Cricetulus griseus: one gene and its partners. The protein of the gene in region 1 purifies or fractionates together with the protein of each later gene. This does not show direct contact. Links are inferred from orthologs where the notes say so. Each region holds a gene or a part of one and is shown in the gene's direction. Other genes may lie near its edges. The genes, in order: Chek1, Cul1, Cul4a, Hax1 and Cdc37.

Region 1 (4,298 bases):
GACATTCCATTCATGAATATAGGAACTTCCTGGGTCTTCTTTATATTCTTTTATTTCAAAACACAGACAGGAAATTACAAAGGAATGGGAAATGATCTATAAACTTGTTTTCATTACATCATTCCTATAACTAATGTCATGGTTTATGCTTTTCATATATAAATATTTGCAGGTGTTTCACCCTTCACTTTTGACAGATTTTTGTAGAGAGAGAGATGTAGCTCGTGGCAAAGCCAGCACAAAGTTTCAGTTTGTACCCAAGTCTTTTCCTTGAGAATTGACATTTCTCACTGGGCCTTCTGCATGCTTGGCAAGTACTCTACCATTATGCCACATGCCTAGCCCAGTTACTCAAATATTTATTGTGCTACTCTACCCACCTCCTTTTAAAGACAGACAGAGTCATACTTTTTGTCTCAGGATGATGAACCTGAAGCAGGCCTTGGCTGCAGGCAAATCACCACCATGTCTACCTTGCTGTTTGAAGGAGCATCTGGCTGTGCCTCAGCTCTGGAGTGTGGCATTTAGAGGTGTGGGCCCTCATGCTCTTTTAAGAACTAGAAAGCTAGTAAAACTAAGCTAGGCAAATGGTCTTCCTACAAACGGGTGAGACTGAATTAGTTTTGGAGCCTGTGCAGGCAAAATTGGTGATCCTGACTGGATTGTAAACTCCAAATACTGTCTTCGTCCTGCCCCCTCGTACCCGAGGCTGTGTGGTCCTTTTAAAAACTATTTTTTGTTTCTTTGCATAACCGGGGCTGGCCTTGAGAACTCGCTATTTTCTTTCTTTCTTTTTTTTTTTTTTTCGAGTCAGGGTTTCTCTGTGTAGCCCTGGCTGTCCTCGAATTCACGGAGATCCGGCCTCTGCCTCCCGAGTGCTGACATTAACGGCCTGCGCCATCACCGCCCGGCAAACACGCTATTTTCTTGCATACTAATACGATTACAGGCACACACCACCACACCTGGCTTTCCTTCATTTTTTTTTTTTTTTAAGGATCAATTCCAAGAACAGTTGCTAGCTTCTAAGCTCGAATACTAAGTAGCGTTTACAGAGCACTTTGTGGCGCTCAGTTTAGCTTCGCAAACCCTTCCTAGCAGGGGCTCCGAGGTCACGAGCTGGTCGGTTTACATTGTTAACGGTGCAGCCCTTGCTGCAAGGAACCCGGTGCTTGACCTGCGCCCAAGTGACGCTCGGTCTGGCTGGAGGCTCCGGCGCCTCTCTGGAACAACGTAGGGCGTCCAGCGGAGCACACACCGGATACCACTTCAGTCTGGGACTCTGAGAACAATTCTCACCAAGGCTGTCGTCAGCACCAAATCTCGTCTGCGGGTCTCTGACCACGGCCGCATGAGACCTCCAGCCGGCCGAGGCCAGGGCTAGGAGGAGGAGCCCTTTCCGGCTAGGCCTGCTGAAGCTGCTCTTCAGCAGAGCCCACGATAGAATAACGCGCGCCGGCCCGCTTTACGGCAAAGGTGCGCGCGTTTGCGACAGCATGACGCAAGCAAGTTTTGGCGGGAAAAGTTCTGCATTTGGAGTCCTGTGGCAGCTGGCAAAGGACTGCTTGGCGAGAAGAGCGTCCCGAACGGTGGGAAAGGACTCCTGCGAAGGACTCGGAGGTCTTGATTAGTGCGGACGGGCACGGTGAGGGAGTGGTCGTGACGACCGGAGAGATGGGAGGGCCTCCCGGCGTGCGGGCTGGAGCTGGTGGCCCGCGGCTCTTCAGCGTAAAGGGAACAGAGCTGTCTGTGAGCCTTCAGAGTTCGCACACCTTTCCGGCTCTTGGGGTCCCTGCCTTCCGCTCGCTCCACAGTTCGGCCCCGCCCCCTTCCCTCCGCGTCTTGGGGACACGTGCCGTTGGGTGGAAATTGAAAGGGAGCGGATGGGAGGAGGGGCTGCGCTGTCAGTAATTACGGTAGTTACTCACACCTACGTCCCCTGTCCCCCACCCCTGCGCTCTCTGCCCGCTACTCCTCCCCCCGGCCATTCTCCGGGAAGCCTTTGTCTCCCAGCCTCCGATCCCAGCTAGTGTTCAGTTGTGCATAAAGGCGGTGGACAAACGTGGCTGAACAGGAGTTGTGATATACAGGGCAAACATGCCTAAATTTAGTATTGTGACTTGGGCAAATATGGATGGGATGTAAGGGCAAACCAAAGTTGTGTGGAATCAAGGCAAGAGGCATGGCTCAGTGGCATTTCAAGTGATGAGAATTCACACTCATCCCCCGTATTTCCTGGGATCCTGCATTTTACAGCCGCTGTGTTTGGAGTCATGGCAGTACCATTTGTGGAAGACTGGGACTTGGTGCAAACTTTGGGAGAAGGTGCCTATGGAGAGTAAGTTTGAGCCCTCATTTAAATTTTTTATTACATTTATTAGTGTGTGTTTGTTATGTCACGGTGAGCACGTGGAGGTCAGAGGACAACTTGTAGGAGTTGGTTCCCATGAGAGTTCAGAGAATTGAACTCGGATTATCAGCAAGTGGCTTTACCTGCTTAGCCATTATCTTTATGGCTTCCCTAGTTTAAATTTTATCTTGCCAGTGTGCTTGCTTTAGTTTTCCATCTGCAGTTTTGAGTAGACATAAAAAAAAATCCTTTATTACAAGTGGCAAAGAGAATGGATATTTGCATTTGTAAATCAAGGCTCTTAGCAAGTGAAGTTACATATACTCACCCACTTGGCCTATTTTGTGATACTGGGGAATTGAACCTAGGGTGTCACACATGCTGGGTGAATGCTCTACCACTGAGCTACAGCCCTAGGCCTTAAAAACAACAAACAAACAACAACACCCCCCCATTTCTTTAATTTGTGTTTGTTCAGTTGAACATTTTATTAAATTGTCAGGTTGGCCTTGAACTTGTGGTACACTGTTGCTTACACAGGTATTACAAGCCTGCTTTAAGTCAACCCAGCTTTTTAAAAAATTTTCTTTTCCTAAGAATTACAAGACTATTAGTTTTTTCCCTATAAAACCGTGTGTCTTAGAATTTAAATGAGATAATGAAAAGTCCCTGGAGGCATCCTACCTTAGCAGATCCTCAGACTTTGCAGATCCTGTTTGTGTTTTGTGTCCTTGAGCAAGCTTTATGTGCCTGTGTTTCCTTGTCTGAAGATAGAGTTGATAGTACCTACCTGATAGTATCTACCTGCATGCACTAGGTAATGACTTTCTTGGAGCTTTAACTGTAATACTTCACATTTCCTTTCATTTCTTTTGAGAACATAGCAGAAACCATGTCATTTTCCTTGAAAAAAATAGTGAAGGAAAAATATTTTGTGAAGTATTATATTTTATCTTTTGAAGTTTTTTCTTTTTAAGGTTTATGCATTTTTAGAGGGCTGGAGAGAGATGGCTCAGCAGTTAAGAGCTCTGCCTGTTTTTCCAAAGGTCCTGAGTTCAATTCCCAGCAACCATATGGTGGCTCACAACCATCTGTAATGAGATCTGGTACCCTCCTCCAGCTGCAGGCATACATGCAGGCAGAACACTGTATACATAATAAATAAATCTTTAAAAAAAGATTTATGCATTTCTATATGTATGAGTGTTTATCTACACATTAGTGTACTACATGTGTACACTACTGACCAAGGCCAGCAGAAGGTGGGATCCCCCACACCTGGGATTAAAGATGGTTATGAGCTACTACAGTGTAGGTGCTGGGAACTGTACCCAGGTCAGAAGCAAGTGCACTTAACTACTGAGTCATCTCTCCAGCCAGATGCTCCCCACTTCTGTCCCTTCCCTGTTTTGTTTGCAGAGAGTTGTCTCATTGTGTAGCTGCCTGCCTCAAATTTCAAGAGCTCTGCCTGTCTCTGCTTCTCCAGTACTGGGATTAAAGACATGTGCCACTACACCCTGCTAGTTGTGGGTGGGAGGTGGGGCTGCGTTTGCTTGTTTGTTTTATTTGGTTTGTTTTAGAGAGTTTCTTTCTTTGTAGCGCAGTCTGGCCTTGAACTTGGACCCTTTTGCCTTTGTCTCCAGAATGCTGGAATTACAGGCATGTATCACTATTCTTTTGAAGTTTTAGGAGAAATGGAATTCAGATGTGGAAATTTTTAACATACACTCTCTCTCTTTCTCTTTAAAGAGTTCAACTTGCTGTGAATAGAATAACTGAAGAGGCTGTTGCAGTGAAAATTGTAGACATGAAGCGGGCCATAGACTGTCCAGAAAATATTAAGAAAGAGATCTGTATCAATAAGATGTTAAATCATGAGAATGTAGTGAAATTCTATGGTCACAGGAGGGAAGGCAATATCCAGTATCTATTTCTGGAGTACTGCAGT
Region 2 (3,511 bases), on another chromosome or scaffold:
GTGGGCCGTGGTGTTTATACATTCACGTTAAAATGCATATATCGGGGCTGTGGAGACAGATGACTCCATCCATGTATGTACATCCTCAGGCACAATGTGAGCATGTGACATGCTCACACAACAATATATGTCTCACACATAGTCACGTGAAGACAAAAGTACAATAGAAGATTTTAATAAGTTATGTACAAGAAACTGCACTTAAAATACATAATCCAGATACAAAGTTAGAAGATTTTTATATTCTTTTTATCTTGATGTGTTAGGAAACTTGGGTAGTGACTGGAATTACCTTTATTAGGTGTATCTGGTCTAAAATTGTTGGATTCAGGGAATACATTGATAGGTTGAATCTACTAATGGCTTTTAAGCTGATAGAAGTGCTCACCTTAAAGCAGAATGTTCTTTTTGAACTTCACTGTCAAAATGTGAGCTCGTAAACATCTGTACAAAGTGACTCACTTGAGAGGTTGCTGATTTCATTGTAATACAAGTTTTTTGTTTTTTTGTTTTTTTTATACTGAGTTGTAATCTAGGAATTTTGGTAAAACTAAGAATTCAAATTATTGTCTGACTGGTTTTGGAGAACCATAGTGAAATACAGTTATTTAATGCATCTTTCCCCCTTTTCCATCCAGCTTGCATTGGTGACATGGAGAGATTGTTTATTCAGGCCATTGAATAAACAGGTATCTATTATGGATGTGTTTTTTTCCTTTTAAAAAAATTTCCCATTTCTATGTTGTCTTCCCAAGCCTTTGAACTATCTCAAGAGTATTTGTTGGTCTGGGGACCTGGCTTTGTTGGTAAAGTGCTTGCCATGTAAGCATGAGGGCCTGGGGTAGATTCCCAGCACCCATGGAAGAAAGCAGGTGTGTTGATGCCCACTAGTGATCCTGGCACTGGAGAGTAGAGTCAAGCAGATCCCTGGGGCTCCCTGCCAGTGCCACCCTAGCCTTCTGAATGAGCTCCATGGCAGTGAGAAACTCCATCTCAAAAAGACAAGGTGATGATTCCCGGGGAGCCATACTTGAGATTGTCCACTGGTCTACCTCCACACACATGTACATATATGTACTTACCCATACCCCTAAAACATGGCTTTAAATGTTTAAAGGATATGACCTGTAACATTTCTACCTAATATTTTTTCTGTATTCTTAAAGGTAACAAATGCTGTTTTAAAACTGATTGAAAAGGAAAGAAATGGCGAAACCATCAACACAAGACTGATTAGTGGAGTTGTACAATCTTATGGTAAATAATTGTCTTTATTTGGTTTTCATATCACATGGCAATCATGATAATTCTGGCATTCATTTAAAAACATTTAAATATCACAAATATTATTCCATTTTTAAGGTACTTTTAAGCAGTACTTTTATAAATCATAAGTTATTTAATCTTTGTACTTTAAGGAAATTTTGATTGGAAAAAAAATGAACTATTTCCTTTGCTGCTTTCATGAGGAAATATTTATATATAATGTGACTGTTTTTGACTTAAATGATAACCAGAAACCTATCAGCTTAAAAAATTAAGATTGAGGGGCTGGAGAGATGGCTCAGAGGTTAAGAGCACTGACTGCTCTTCCAGAGGTCCTGAGTTCAATTCCCAGCAACTATATGGTGGCTCACAACCATCCATTGTGAGATCTGGTGCCTTCTTCTAGTGTGCAGATATACATGGAAACAGAATGTTATATACATAATAAATAAATAAAATCTAAAAAAAAAAATTAAGATTGAGACCCTGATTAACTGATGTGTTGTTCAAGCTCAGGTAGGTTTGTGTTTCTGTGAAAATTTACAGTACAACATTTAGATCACTTTTGGAAATGTAGACTTTCTCTGACTGAACTTGTGATAATTGTGAAGTATCCCTGGCCCAGGTAGAGGTGATCTACTCCTATATATCTTGGAGTTTATTGTTTTATTTCTCTTTTATTAAAATAAGAATATTTCAATACTAGTGAATAACAGTTAACCTTAAAACCCTCCATTATACATTGATCTTTCAAGTGTAACTTAAACTGAATGTTACACCAAAGTATTATCTGTGAAATATTACAAAAAGTAGGGTAAATATAGTTCATATTTCTTTCTAGTGGAATTGGGGCTGAATGAAGATGACGCATTTGCAAAGGGCCCTACGTTAACAGTGTATAAAGAATCCTTTGAATCTCAATTTTTGGCTGACACAGAGAGATTTTATACCAGAGAAAGTACTGAATTCTTGCAGCAGAACCCAGTTACTGAATATATGAAAAAGGTAAGCTTAAACATACATAGTATGTAAAGTAGATGTAAGTTAAATAGTCATTGCTTCTCTAGTGAGTTCTTGGCAATGCAGTGTTCCTCACAAGTCAGGCTTGGCACTGATGTCACACTATGTCCCATGGATCCAGCTCCTGTCACTCTGTAAGGGACTTTCACAAATTGATAATAATCATGAGTGAGTGTTCATTCCTTTTGCATAGCTAAGGAGGTGCCTTGATAACTGCATGCCTTCTTCATGTTTTGAACCATCTCCCCTTGAGTGTGACGACTAGTGGGCCCCACAGTTTTGTCAGTGAGATAGTATTGAGCAGATATTCCAAGATTTGTTAGCTATTTCATTTGTTTGTTTTTGCTACTTTTTTCTTAAATATTTCCTAGGAGTTTATAGCTTAGTCTTTAAGATTACATTAGGAAGGAGGATCTAAATTCTGACTTGGGAGAAGAGCTATGTATCGTATTCTATAAGCATTATTTTACTACATGATGCTTCCATGAACTTCTAATAGGAATTTTCTTTGCTCTTTCTTGAAAATTCAGGTATTCTGGATGAAGGGGCTGAGGAATGTCAGGAGTCTTTAAGCTTTCTGTTATATACTGCCAGGCAGTAAATATCTTAAGGCTTTGCGTGCTATGTATGATCTCTTCCACCACTGTTCAACTTTGCTGTTATAACACAACAGTCGGCAATGTGTAAATAAACAAGAAATATGTGTCAGGATTTTGCCAATCAACTGTAGAGTGACTTCTCTCCTGAATGTACTAGATTTTCAAGAGTCTGGTTCAGACCAAGTCTAGTACCTGCTTTGCCCTCTCTTGGGCAGGAAATGGACTGTACAGTCATTGCTTCCGTGGTTCAAAGAAAGAATACATAAGACCAACCACCCTGCTTCTGACTTACAGAAAAAGTCATGCCCAGCTTGTGGTGTTCAAAGTGCATTTTCATACGGTACACTTACATTGCACATGTAAGTGGGCCTTCTAAGCTGAAATTGAAACCCAATTACACATTTCTGATATCTCAAAACCCAACTAAAGTGGGACTAGTTAGTTGTTTATGTGGAATGGTAGCAGTTCTTTGTATCTAGTATGTGACTGAAACCTGGTCAGCTCCTTGCTCCTTAAGAGTATTTGAAATATAACCTGTTTTGAATTGTGGTATTGCCCATTATTTAATTTTTTAGTGTGACAGAGTAGCTTTTGTAAACAGGTCTCTTACTGCAAAGACCTGTTTC
Region 3 (4,241 bases), on another chromosome or scaffold:
AACCAAGATTCATAAACATCCATGAGCAGCAATGTCATCCGTTAAAACGTCCATCAGACTTTCCCACCTGGCTGTCCCTTGCACCAGGTGTGCTGAATAGTGGGATTCATACCTCTCTCGTCCTAGGTTAGCGGAGAAAACGCAAACTCAACCCTCAACCCAGATGCAACGCTGCTTGCCTGTGCCATTCGCGGGCCTTGAGCAGAGGGACACCTCTCTTAAGACCCAGTGTGCTTCGGTGCAGACAGTGCTACACGAACAGCCGCTTTTACAAGTGGCCTCGATTCTGCTACCTCCACCTCGAATCCTCCTCCGTCCCAGATCCGGCGGGAAGCACTTGCAACTTTTGAGCAAAGCCTGCTGCCCGCCCCATGCAGCAAACGTTCTTCACCTCAAAGGCAGCCGCAGACCTCCCCCCTCCACCGGTCCCGGACCTATCTGACCCAGCCCCAGAACCCACCCTCGTGGCCACTAAACAAGGATACCGGGCAACCCACCTGCTGTAGGTACTGGTTAATGGTGATGTGCGCCATAGCAGCGGCCGCGGGCGTTAAGCACCTCACTTCCGGCGCAGGTCCGTCTCAGCTCCTTGTCCCTACACTGTATTTCCCGCACGTTTTTGATTCCGGAACCGGTGGCGCAAACTGAACGAAGCTGGCCCGAGCACTCCCCTCCTAGAGCTGTCAGTGCTCGGGGTGCAGTCACTGAGGTGTCTCAGCTCGGGCGGGGGCGTGAGCAAAGGACGGGGGACTGACGTGGAGGAGTTCCAACCGACTTGGGAACGTATCCCCGCGTCCCGATCACGTCCTGTGTCCTAGCGACTCCCCGTGTCTCTCATCCCTTCGATCCTCACTTTGCAGAGACGCTCCCGGCTCGCACACCCTCAAGTGCACAGAACAAAAGTCAACCCCACTTGGGAACACGTCCCCGTGCTCTCCTAGCCCTCGCTGGAGATGTCCCCGAGTCCTCCCACCCCCTCACTGGGGCATCCCAGAGCAACGGGTGTGGAGTATCCGGTTGTCACGGAGCATCCCTGAGCCCTAGGTGTGGGGCTGCCCCAGAGGCAGGGTGGTGGGGTGCTCCTGTTCGCCCACGTCTCCCGGGTGTCCCCAGCCCTCGTCGTGACGTCGAACACCAAGCTCCCGGAACGCTCGGTGCGGGGTGTCACGGCGCCCTCTCGCGAGCATTCGTCGTAGAACGTCCGCGGGTGCCGAACCCTCCAGGCGCGGCCGCGTACGCCGGAGCCCTCACTGGGCGGAGTCCGCGCGCCCGAGCCGGATCATTCCGGTGCGCGCCGCGGCGGTTGGGCCTCGGGCGCGCGGACCGGGCCGCGAGCAGCAGGAGGAGGAGCCGAGCGCTCACGGGCGGAGCCCGACAGGAGGAGGAGGAGCCGGGCGCGCACGGACCGGGCGCAGGGCAGGAGGAGGAGCCGGGCGGCGCGGGGCGGGGCGGCGTCCGGCCCAGCCATGGCGGACGAGGGCCCGCGGAAGGGCAGCGTCTCGGCTCTCATGGGCCGCACCAACGGCCTCACCAAGCCCGCGGCGTTGGCCGGTGGCCCTGCCAAGCCGGGGGGCGCGGGCGGCTCCAGGAAGCTGGTCATCAAGAACTTCCGAGGTGGGTGCGCTCCGGTGAGGAGCGAACGGGGCGTCCGTCAGGTCGCGCGCTCGGACAGGGCCTCCTGGGGCTGCCCAGCCGGCCCTGTCCCCGCGCCCCAGCCCGCCTTGTTCCCGCACTGTCCTGTTCCGGCGCTCCAGCCTGACTTGTCCCCGCACCTCATGCTCCGCCACGTCCCCGCGCCCCAGCTGGCCCTGACCCCGCACCTCCTGGCTGGCTCTGCTGGGCCCTGCCTCGGTGCCCCGGCCTGTCTTGTCCCCGCGCGGCCGTTGACCCTCTCTCCCCACAGACAGGCCGCGGCTGCCTGACAACTACACTCAGGACACGTGGCGGAAGCTTCACGAAGCGGTCAAGGCCATCCAGAGCAGCACATCCATCAGGTACAACCTGGAGGAGCTGTACCAGGTGAGCGGCGGCGAGGGCCTGCGAGCACCTGGCTGTTTTCCTCCTCTCACAGCCACGGTCGCCGCCGATGCTAGGGAGGCCCGCCTGCCGGGGGGGAGGGGGAATGGGGGGAGAGGCTGCGGTCCGAGCCTTCCCTAGAGGAAGCCTCGAAGCCCTCGGTCAGCAGGTGTTTCAGTATATGGTCGCCCTGGATGAGTGCTATGTTGAGGCTTACATCGGGCTGCTTAGGTGTAAGTTTTCCCATCCCCAGGAGAAAGGAGGTGTGGGGGCTGCGAGCCACAGGGCTCCAGTGATCTCCAGTGTTATCAGAACGTTAGATTGTTACACATAAAACTCAGTATGCTAGGAGGATCCTTGTGTCGTCGTCGTCGTCGTCGTCTCTCCCCCCCCCACACACACTGTGGTTTAATTGTTGCAAATAAGGTTTGCAGATTCTGGTAGTTTTAATTTAAAGATAGTGTCTACAGCAGGAAAAAAAAAAAAAGGCCAAAAGTACATCTTGTTTTTTCAGGCAGACTTTTCTGTCGTGGTTTTATACAGTAATGTTCACTAAATAGTCTGTTTTAGGTAATGATATAGCATATATATAATTAATTACACTAAAGTCATGAACTTACCGGTTTGTTTTATCCTGGTTACAAAATGAATTTATGTAAGTTATAGAAAGTACAAAAAGAAAAGTAAGCAGTAGTACCCAAGGGAAATTGTTACAGGTTGAGCACTCCTGATCCAAAACTTCCCCAATCCAAAACTTTTAGCACTCACATGAAAAAAGATCCACGGCTGACCTCGTCTGACTGGACTCAGACAGAACACAATGTATGCTAAAACTGTTGTATAAAATTACTTCAAGCTAGGGCCAGTGAGATGACTCAGTGGGTAAAGCTCTTGCCGAACAAGCTTGGCAACCAGTGGTCGAACCTCAGAACCCTCAGAAAGGTAGAAGAAAACTGACTGCAGAGAGGATGTCCTTTGGCCTCCAGTCAAGCCGTGGCACAAGCACCCACACATAACGCATCATGCACACACACAATGGTAAAAATAAAAAAATAAAAACAGACCTTCAAATTGTGTTCAGGGTATATGAGATATGAATTAATTTTGTGTTTAGACCTGAGTCTCATTCCCCCAAATAAATCATTATGCATATTCAAGTATCAAATCCAGGAGAAAAAAAAAATCTGTAATCCAAAACACTGCTGGTCCCAAGCATTTTGGGTGAGGGGCGACCAACCTGTAGTGATAGAGTGAGGTACATGTGTCCGTTCTTTGTCTTAAGTTTGTGAGTTGATTGTGTATTGAGGGTGAAGGTTTTTTTAAGGTTTTTATTTTGTTTAGACAGGGTCTCACTGTATAGCCCTGGCTGGTCTGGAATTCACTATGTAGATCAGGTGGCCTTGAACTCTCAGAGATCCACCTGCCTTTGCTCCTGAGCTTTGGGATTAGGGCTTCACCTGCCTGACAATGTACTTTTATTATTTTAAGTATGTGGGTATGAAGTTTGGGGGCAGGCCTGGAGGCCAGAAGTATTAGATACCTCTAGAGCCTGGGTGTAAGTGGTTGTGAGCCTCTTGAAATAGGTACTGGGAACCAATCCCAGGTCCTCATGTACTCTAAACCACTGAGCCATCTCTCCAGACCTCTACCCCACTCACTTTGTCTTTGAGTGAGAGTCTTGCTACACAGTGCTGGCTGACTTAGTTACTTGCTATGTATTCCAGCCTATGTATAACTTACAGCAGTCCTCCTGCCTCAGCTTTCCACATGGTTGAATGTGCCACCATGCCCCGATAATTTTTTAATCAGCTTTTTTGAAGTGTAATTTACATATAACTTGTGCTCCAGTAGGTTTTTTTTTTGGGGGGGGAGCGGGGTAAGGGGAATTGACTGGCTTTATTTTTTAAGAGTTTCACTGTGTAGCCCAGGCTGCCCAAACTCAAGGTAATCTTCCTGTGGGGTTACAGGCTTACACTAACATGCTTGTTCCAGTAAATGTTAATGGCCTAATATGCAGTTGTTTTGCCACCCCCGCCCCTGAAAATGTAGACTTTTTCCATCCCTGACAAAGAACTACAGCTCCTTGCAGCCATCCCTTCCCCATCTCCTCCCTTGGCAGCCAGTACTCTGCTCTGGGTTACTCTGCCATTTCTATCTAAAAGGAATCTTGCATTTGCCATCTCTTGTTATCTGGCTTTTATTTGGAATAGTGCTTTGCAGTTTAC
Region 4 (4,039 bases), on another chromosome or scaffold:
TGGCAGAACTAAAGCTCAAGCGGCTTTCCCTTTATAGAAGTAGACTGCAGTAGTTTTTGTTCCTTGAGTTTTGTTTTTGAGACAGTCTTATTGTGTGACCCTGGCTGGCCTGTAACTTGGTATGGAGACCAAGCTGATCTCAAATTCAGAGGTCTGCCTGCCTCTGCCTATTAGGTGATGAGGTTAAAGATTCTCAACAAACACCATACCCTGCTTTGCCTATTTTATGTGGCCTTAGAAATGCCCAATTTCTGGGAAAGGGTTGGATGATGTAGAGCAAGACCTGTGGTGGGGCATTGTGGTAAAAAGTTTTGAACCTCAATTACATGGGAAGGGGAGTTTTATTTTCTTTAGAAGAGCCTGAGACTTACCGTATTGCCAAGGATTCAAGAGATTCGTTCGGCTTCAGACTTCCCAAACTGCAAGTATGGCTTGGGAAGTGAGGGTGTGTCCAGGTCTCATGTAGCTCAGGCTGGCATTGAACTCGTTGTGTAGACCAGGTTGGCTTCATACTGAGATCCACCGGTCTCTGCCTCTTGAGCCTGCACCACTGATTCTAACTATAGAGTCTTTGTTCTTTTCCAAGATGCTTCAGTAGTTACTCTTCCCTGCCTAGTATAAATCTTACCTTGTTGGTTGTAGTCTGTTTTTTTAAAAGTTTAAAAGAGTAGCTAGGCATGGTAGCAACGGCCTATAATCCCAGCATTTGGGAGGCAGAGTCAGGTGGATCTCTTGAGTTCGAGGCAGGCCTAGTCTATAGAGTTCCAGGACAGCAGAGAAACCGTGTGTCGAATAAACACGTTTAAAATAAATTTTTATGGCCCGAACTAACTCCTTAGTAGCTGAAGAGATTCCTAGCATCCTCATGTCTTTATCCAGCAGTAGGGAAATTGCCCTGGAAGGAGCTTAGTAAAACATTTCCCAACCTGTAGTGTTGGACGTCACATCAGTCTAGAAACAAACAAAGTGGGGGTGTTTTCTGAGCCGGGGTCCAGGCGGGGCTCGGGACAGGCCGCTCCCTTTGGCGGCTAACTTGGAACCATCCAGAGAGTAACGGAAACACCCCTTGGGGACTGGCAGATGGGCGGGAAAGAGAATCACTAGAAGGGGTGTGATCTTGGACAGCGGGGATCCGTAAGCCCACCCTCACTCAAAACTGAAAGGTAGCGTATAAGAAGCTTCGCGTCGGAGGAGCGCCGTCAGCCCCGCCTCTTCCTTCTCCGGGTTTCGGCCTTTTTACGACAATGCCGTGTTGCAGACTTGCTTTCCGGCAGCGAATGCTGAACCCTGGCTGTATCTGACAGGGTAGCGCAAGCTGGCAGTCGAGTGGTTCTCATGTCCTGCCGAAGTTTAAAGTTTCTAGGGCACCTACAGGAATGAGCTTCTTTGACCTTTTCCGGGGCTTTTTCGGCTTTCGTGGACCTCGGAGGTGAGCGTAGTTCTGGGCTGGACCTGAGGAAGCGGTGTTCTTTGGGGACGCTTGACCCCTTCACCGTATTTTTGGAAAGCTTCCTTCCCCGCTCCCTTCAACTCCTGCTGAGAGGATAGAAATCTCAACCTTGAGTACTCACCACGCCACAGTAACCAAAGCGGTGTGAAGAGGAGAGAAACAGTGCCTTTCTCCAGAGTGGGGTGATGCAACAGGGAGCTGGGCGGAGAAGACAATGGGGGCCTGGGGAATGAGCAAGTGAGAGGGACCTTAAGGGGCAATTAGGAGTGCGCAGTCAGACACTGAAGACAAGCCACGGGAGGCGTTTGCGAGGTGTGGGGGGCGGGGGTTGTCATGGGCTCTAATTAGAGACAATACAAAACCCTAATAGATCCACGAGCTTTGTTTTGACTTGGAAGGGAGCTCTCCAGTGTTTTCTTCAGCTACCTAGACCCCAACCTTTTGTCCCCATTTTACTGGCCTTGGGTTGGTTTTATTGCTTAGACAGTGCTGAAATCTTCGTGGCTTATCTGCCTCTGCTCTCAGCCACAGAGATCCCTTCTTCGGAGGGATGACTCGAGATGATGACGATGATGATGACGAAGAGGAAGAAGACAGAGGCACGTGGGGTCGAGGGAGCTATAGGTTTGATGGTTCTCAGCCTCCGGAGGAATTCGGTTTCAACTTCAGCCCAGAAGAAGGCATGCGATTCCACGACAACTTTGGCTTTGATGATCTAGTACGAGATTTCAATAGCATCTTCAGTGAGATGGGGGCCTGGACCTTGCCTTCCCACTCTCCTGGTGTGTAGATTCTCCTGAGGGAGAATATTGGGTTAGGGAGCGAAATACGGACCTTGCAGAGTAGTTGGGGATATGCTAAAGCTGATTTCAAAAAGATTTTGTGTGTTTTAAGCCCTTTCCTATCCTAGTATCACCAGCCAACTTTTTTACAGAACTTCCAGGTCATGGGTCAGAAACACCTGGTGAGAGACCGCGGGAAGGGCAGACGCTTCGGGACTCAATGCTTAAGTACCCAGACAGTCACCAACCCAGGATCTTTGAGGGGGTCATGGAGAGTCATCCAAGACCTGAATCCCCCAAACCAGCTCCAGATTGGGGGTCTCAGGGACCTTTTCATAGGGTGAGTACTCTGCACCTGAAGTGCAGTAACTACAACTCTTACTGGAATTTCTTAGAGTTGAGTTAGAATTCTAGCCCCTCTAATTAGTGCATTTGTCTGGATTTTCTTCTTTGTTGGGCTTTTTGTTTTGAGACTTGGGATTCACTGTGTAGACCAGACTGGCCTCAGGTTTAGAGATCTGCCTGTCTCTGCATCAGGATTAAAATGTGCCAGCACACCTAGCCTAAGGTTTATTTATTTTTTCTTATGTAGGACTGTTTTTTTCAGTGCATGTGGAGCATGTTTTTGCTCCACATGTGCCTGGTACTCATAGAGGTCAGGAGAGGGCATCGAATACCCGGGAACTCCAATTATAATGATTGAGAACCACCATGCTGGGATCTATACACTATGGTTTTCTGCAATAGTGCCCCCTGCCCTCTCTTTTTATTTTATTTATATATGTATTTTGAGACAAGATCTCTCTGTGGCCTTAGCTGTCCTGGAACTTGCTATGTAGACCATGCTGGCCTCCCTTGGCCCTGAGTTTCTTTGTTTGGTTTTTTGTTGCTGTTTGTTGTTCTTAAGATTTATTTATTTTAGCCGGGCGTTGGTGGTGCATGTCTTTATTCCCAGCACTCGGGAGGCAGAGGTAGGCAGATCTCTGTGAGTTCGAGGCCAGCCTGGTCTATAGAGCAAGTTCCAGGATAGGCTCCAAAGCTACACAGAGAAACCCTGTCTCAAAAAACAAAACAAAACAAAAAATTATTTATTTTGCGTATGTGTGTCTGAGTTTTTTGTGTACCATATGAGTGCCTGCAGTGTTGAGGTATTGTTGAATCCTGTGGAGCTCTGAGCTGCTTGATATCCCCAGAAAAAGCAAGTGTTCTTAATCTATGGGCCGTCTTTCTAGCCCCTTTGTTTCTGTTTTCCATTTGCAATACAGGAGCATAGAATACAAAAGGGAAATGTAAATATTCTGCTTTTTTTAATTGCTAGTTACAATTCTTGATTAAGAAAGGGTCTTGAGAGCTGGGCTGTGGTGGCACACGCCTTTAATCCCAGCACTTGGGAGGCCGAGGCAGGCGAATCTCTGTGAGCCCAGGCCAGCCTGGTCTACAAAGCTACACAGAGAAACCTTGTCTCAAGGTAGGGGTAGTCTTGAGGCTGGGCATGGTGTTGCCCACTTTTAATCCCAGCACTCCTGAGGCAGAAGCAAACTTATTTCCTTGAGTTCAAGGCCAACCTGTCTAGACAAAAAAACCCTGCCTGGAACGAACACACACACACACACACACACACACACACACACCAAGGTGGGGGGGGGGCATCTTGAGCAGGGCAAGGTGGTGCACACCTTTGATCCTAGCACTAGGGAAGTAGAGGCAGGCAAGTTTCTGTCAGTTTGAGGCCAGCCTAGTCTATAGAATGAGTTCTAGGATAAGAAACCCTGTCTTGAAAAAAAAAAACAGTCTTGAAGATGCAGGA
Region 5 (3,511 bases), about 15 Mb from region 1:
CAAGGCCACTGCTGCTGAGCTACTCCCCTCACATGGCCAGTTGCTGTTGCTCTACCTTGCTCCTGTCCTGGGGAGGTAGAGGACCAGGGGCCCAGGTTCGTTCTCAGCTACACAGAGAAGCAGTTGCTAGTAAGACGAAAAACTGTAAAAATGTGGCATTGGGGCACCAACAAGTAGCTCGTAGCTATGTGGACTGTAGCAAGGACCCAGGGTTTGTCCAACCAGAGTATGTCTAGTCCTCCATGGTAGGCAGGGTGGAAGTTGGGAGGGCAGGACTTAGACTTTGGTGTACACATCTCTTGGGGTCATGTCCGTTGCAGGGATTGAAACCCCAAGGCTGTGGCTGGGCAGGGATCAAGGAACTAAGTTGTTCTTTTGTTTGTTTGTTTGTTTGTTTTTTGTTGTTTTTGTTTTTCGAGACAGGGTTTCTCTGTGGCTTTAGAGGCTGTCCTGGAACTAACTCTTGTAGACCAGGCTGGTCTCAAACTCACAGAGATCCGCCTGCCTCTGCCTCCCAGTGCTGGGACTAAAGGCGTGCGCCACCACTGCCTGGCTTGTTTCTTTTGTTGTTGTTATTTATTTTGAGATGGGGTTTCTCTGTGTAGCCTAGGCTACCCTGGAACTCTTTGTAGACCAGGTTGGCCTCAAACTCAAAGATCCACCTGCCTGTGCCTCCCAAGTGCTGAGACTAAAGGGGAGTGCCACCATGCCGGGCTCCCAAGGGACCAAGTGACCAGCTGCTGGCTGTCCTTGCCCACAGGCCCGAGTGGAGCGCATGGAGCAGTTTCAGAAGGAGAAGGACGAACTGGACCGGGGCTGCCGTGAATGCAAGCGAAAGGTAGCCGAATGCCAACGCAAGCTGAGGGAGCTGGAAGTGGCTGAAGGCGGTGGCCAGGTGGAGCTTGAGCGGCTGCGAGCTGAGGCACAGCAGCTGCGCAAGGAGGAGCGAAGCTGGGAGCAGAAGCTGGAGGACATGCGCAAGAAGGAGAAGAGCATGCCCTGGAACGTGGACACCCTCAGCAAGGACGGCTTCAGCAAGGTGGGCGCAGGCGGGCGGGAGCACTGCAGAGCAGAGCAGAGCAGAGCACTGCAGGGGTGCGGGTGGGTGAGAGCGCTGCAGAGCAGGGTCAGATGTGGGATGCGCATGCTTTGGTGGTGGAGGCTGGACCTGACGGTGAACTATGAAGGCCCTGGGTCCATACCTGTCTCCTCATTCTGACAAGGAGAGGCCGGCAGAGTTATGGGGGGGACAGGTTGATCGTGGGATTGGCCGGTAGAGACCAATGAAGCCCACCCATACCCTCTGATCTGCCCGAAGGCCCGCGGCCACGCCTCTGCCACCTTGATGCACTTAGCGACGCCTCCGCCTCCGATGTGGACAGGATGGGCGCGGCGGCCAAGGCCCCCGCACCCCAGGCGCAACCCTGCCTTGCCCCAGCCCACTTGCCCTCTCGCCCTGTCACAGAGCATAGTCAATATCAAGCCTGAGAAGGCAGAGGAAGACTCAGAGGAGGCAAGAGAGCAGAAACACAAGACCTTCGTTGAAAAGTACGAGAAACAGATCAAGCATTTCGGTAAGTGCCTGCACGGGGCCTGCAGTTGGGAGTCAAGGCCAGGAAAGGGCTTCCCACAGCCTCTGCAACACCCTTCCCTGCAGGCATGCTCCACCGCTGGGATGACAGCCAGAAGTACCTGTCAGACAATGTCCACCTGGTGTGCGAGGAGACCGCCAACTACCTGGTTATCTGGTGCATTGACCTGGAAGTGGAGGAGGTGAGTATAGCCTGGCCCAGCTTCAGAAAGACTCCCAGACACTGCCTCTCGGTGACACCCCACCTTTGTCCTGGCAGAAATGTGCACTGATGGAGCAGGTAGCTCACCAGACCATGGTGATGCAGTTCATTCTGGAGCTGGCCAAGAGTCTGAAGGTCGATCCCCGTGCCTGCTTCAGGCAGTTCTTCACCAAGATCAAGGTATGGACTCCTGTACCACCAGAAAGCTCACAGTGTACACACAGACTAGGGGCCTGTGGTTAGATCTTTTATTGGGAGGGCGCAGAGTGGTGCGGAGATTACAGTGGCCAAATATGGCCTTATTTATTTCTTTTTAATCTTTAAAATTGTGTGCATGCATGTATGTATGTTATATATGTTTGTATGGTTTGTGTGTATGTGGACTCATGGTCAGGGGACAACTTTGGAATTGATTCTCTCCTTCCACCTTTGTGTGGGCTCTAGTGATCAAACATGCTGTTGGCCTTGCGTGGCAAACACTTCACTCACTGAACCACCTTGCTGACACTATTTAAGATTTTTTTTTAATTTACTTTACATATTTATTTATTGTTGGTGTGTGTGTGCCTGAGTCTGTGTGCAAGCAAGTGTCTCCAGAGGCTAGAAGAGGCTGTTAGATCCCTGGAGCTGGAGCTCCTGGTATATGATCCTCTGAAAGGCCGGGGATCCTGAGAGTGGGGCAGGCAGGAACAATCCAGAACTGAGGTGCCTGTAAGGCCTTGCTGGAAGACACCTGAAGGTGTAGTACCAGGCCTGTGCTGTTTAGCTGGGCCTGGCAGTTGGCCATTAGTAGATGGGCCCACAAGACAGTAGCAAGGGGCACTGAGTACAGAGAGCAAGGCCAAGCCTTGAGGTGCCTGTGGGAAGTTCAGGAAAAGCCTTGGGGAGCCCCAGAAGGCTTCCAAAAGCTGCAGACAGGGACCTTACCACCTAAAGACCTGGGTGTCAACTGCCCAGTGAATAGCGCCCACCGTCTTCTGCAGACCGCCGACCAACAGTACATGGAGGGCTTCAAATACGAACTGGAGGCCTTTAAGGAGCGTGTGCGGGGCCGTGCCAAGCTGCGCATAGAGAAGGCCATGAAGGAGTACGAGGAGGAGGAGCGCAAGAAGAGGCTGGGCCCTGGTGGCCTGGACCCCGTGGAGGTCTATGAGTCCCTGCCTGAGGTGTGACTCCCCAGAGCCCAGGAGGGAGGAGGGTGATCTGTGAATGTTGTCAACCTCCCCACACCCACTAGCCCAGGTCCTCACCCTACCCCTCTGTACCCCAGGAACTGCAGAAGTGCTTTGATGTGAAGGACGTGCAAATGCTGCAAGATGCCATCAGCAAGATGGATCCCACTGTGAGTTCCCATATGTGGCCCTGGTGCCTGTGTCTAGACATGGTCCCCAAGGTTCTGCAACAGACGGGAAGGAATGGCCTCTGGGTGGGCCTGGTGGTGCTAACCTGTCATCTCAAGAGGCTAAGAGCAGTGTGTTGTAAGTTCAAGGCCAAGCTTAGACAGGATGAGTTCAAGATGAGCCAGAGCAGCTCAGTGAAACCCTGTCTCAAAATAGCAATAAGAAGATGGGGTGTAGCTCAGTGGTTGAGTCCTTGCCTGGTATGTGTGGGACTCTGGTTCCATCCCAGCAGCACAAAATAACAAAACAAAACTAGTGTCCCTCTTGGGCTTCTCTAAGAAAGGAGAGGTGTGCCAGGCGGTGGTGGCCCACAGCTTT

The links.
Region 2: the proteins of Chek1 (region 1) and Cul1 purify together in Homo sapiens (affinity purification with western blotting; 6 studies listed by BioGRID and IntAct, with this or other methods). This does not show direct contact. The link is inferred for Cricetulus griseus from reciprocal best matches to the Homo sapiens genes CHEK1 and CUL1.
Region 3: the proteins of Chek1 (region 1) and Cul4a purify together in Homo sapiens (affinity purification with western blotting; 4 studies listed by BioGRID). This does not show direct contact. The link is inferred for Cricetulus griseus from reciprocal best matches to the Homo sapiens genes CHEK1 and CUL4A.
Region 4: the proteins of Chek1 (region 1) and Hax1 purify together in Homo sapiens (affinity purification with mass spectrometry; 3 studies listed by BioGRID and IntAct, with this or other methods). This does not show direct contact. The link is inferred for Cricetulus griseus from reciprocal best matches to the Homo sapiens genes CHEK1 and HAX1.
Region 5: the proteins of Chek1 (region 1) and Cdc37 purify together in Homo sapiens (affinity purification with mass spectrometry; 3 studies listed by BioGRID and IntAct, with this or other methods). This does not show direct contact. The link is inferred for Cricetulus griseus from reciprocal best matches to the Homo sapiens genes CHEK1 and CDC37.

What each region holds. Positions count from the first base shown.
Region 1 is NC_048597.1:148,682,870-148,687,167, reverse strand, and holds the start of Chek1 (serine/threonine-protein kinase Chk1), read left to right. Parts: upstream 1-1,494; 5' UTR 1,495-1,645; intron 1,646-1,856; exon of another isoform or gene 1,857-2,256; 5' UTR 2,257-2,273; coding exon 2,274-2,338; intron 2,339-3,949; exon of another isoform or gene 3,950-4,009; intron 4,010-4,099; coding exon 4,100-4,298. UniProt on the Homo sapiens protein: Serine/threonine-protein kinase which is required for checkpoint-mediated cell cycle arrest and activation of DNA repair in response to the presence of DNA damage or unreplicated DNA.
Region 2 is NW_023276806.1:222,445,042-222,448,552, reverse strand, and holds part of Cul1 (cullin-1), read left to right. Parts: intron 1-638; coding exon 639-689; intron 690-1,166; coding exon 1,167-1,257; intron 1,258-2,107; coding exon 2,108-2,271; intron 2,272-3,511. UniProt on the Homo sapiens protein: Core component of multiple cullin-RING-based SCF (SKP1-CUL1-F-box protein) E3 ubiquitin-protein ligase complexes, which mediate the ubiquitination of proteins involved in cell cycle progression, signal transduction and transcription.
Region 3 is NW_023276807.1:67,672,683-67,676,923, reverse strand, and holds the start of Cul4a (cullin-4A), read left to right. Parts: upstream 1-1,438; 5' UTR 1,439-1,466; coding exon 1,467-1,614; intron 1,615-1,903; coding exon 1,904-2,019; intron 2,020-4,241. Other genes in the region: Pcid2 (PCI domain-containing protein 2), read right to left, coding at 498-533. UniProt on the Homo sapiens protein: Core component of multiple cullin-RING-based E3 ubiquitin-protein ligase complexes which mediate the ubiquitination of target proteins. As a scaffold protein may contribute to catalysis through positioning of the substrate and the ubiquitin-conjugating enzyme.
Region 4 is NW_023276806.1:64,555,071-64,559,109, forward strand, and holds the start of Hax1 (HCLS1-associated protein X-1), read left to right. Parts: upstream 1-1,236; 5' UTR 1,237-1,376; coding exon 1,377-1,429; intron 1,430-1,975; coding exon 1,976-2,232; intron 2,233-2,384; coding exon 2,385-2,572; intron 2,573-4,039. UniProt on the Homo sapiens protein: Recruits the Arp2/3 complex to the cell cortex and regulates reorganization of the cortical actin cytoskeleton via its interaction with KCNC3 and the Arp2/3 complex. Slows down the rate of inactivation of KCNC3 channels. Promotes GNA13-mediated cell migration.
Region 5 is NC_048597.1:133,999,813-134,003,323, reverse strand, and holds part of Cdc37 (hsp90 co-chaperone Cdc37), read left to right. Parts: intron 1-760; coding exon 761-1,039; intron 1,040-1,318; coding exon 1,319-1,574; intron 1,575-1,657; coding exon 1,658-1,773; intron 1,774-1,850; coding exon 1,851-1,973; intron 1,974-2,776; coding exon 2,777-2,959; intron 2,960-3,063; coding exon 3,064-3,135; intron 3,136-3,511. UniProt on the Homo sapiens protein: Co-chaperone that binds to numerous kinases and promotes their interaction with the Hsp90 complex, resulting in stabilization and promotion of their activity. Inhibits HSP90AA1 ATPase activity.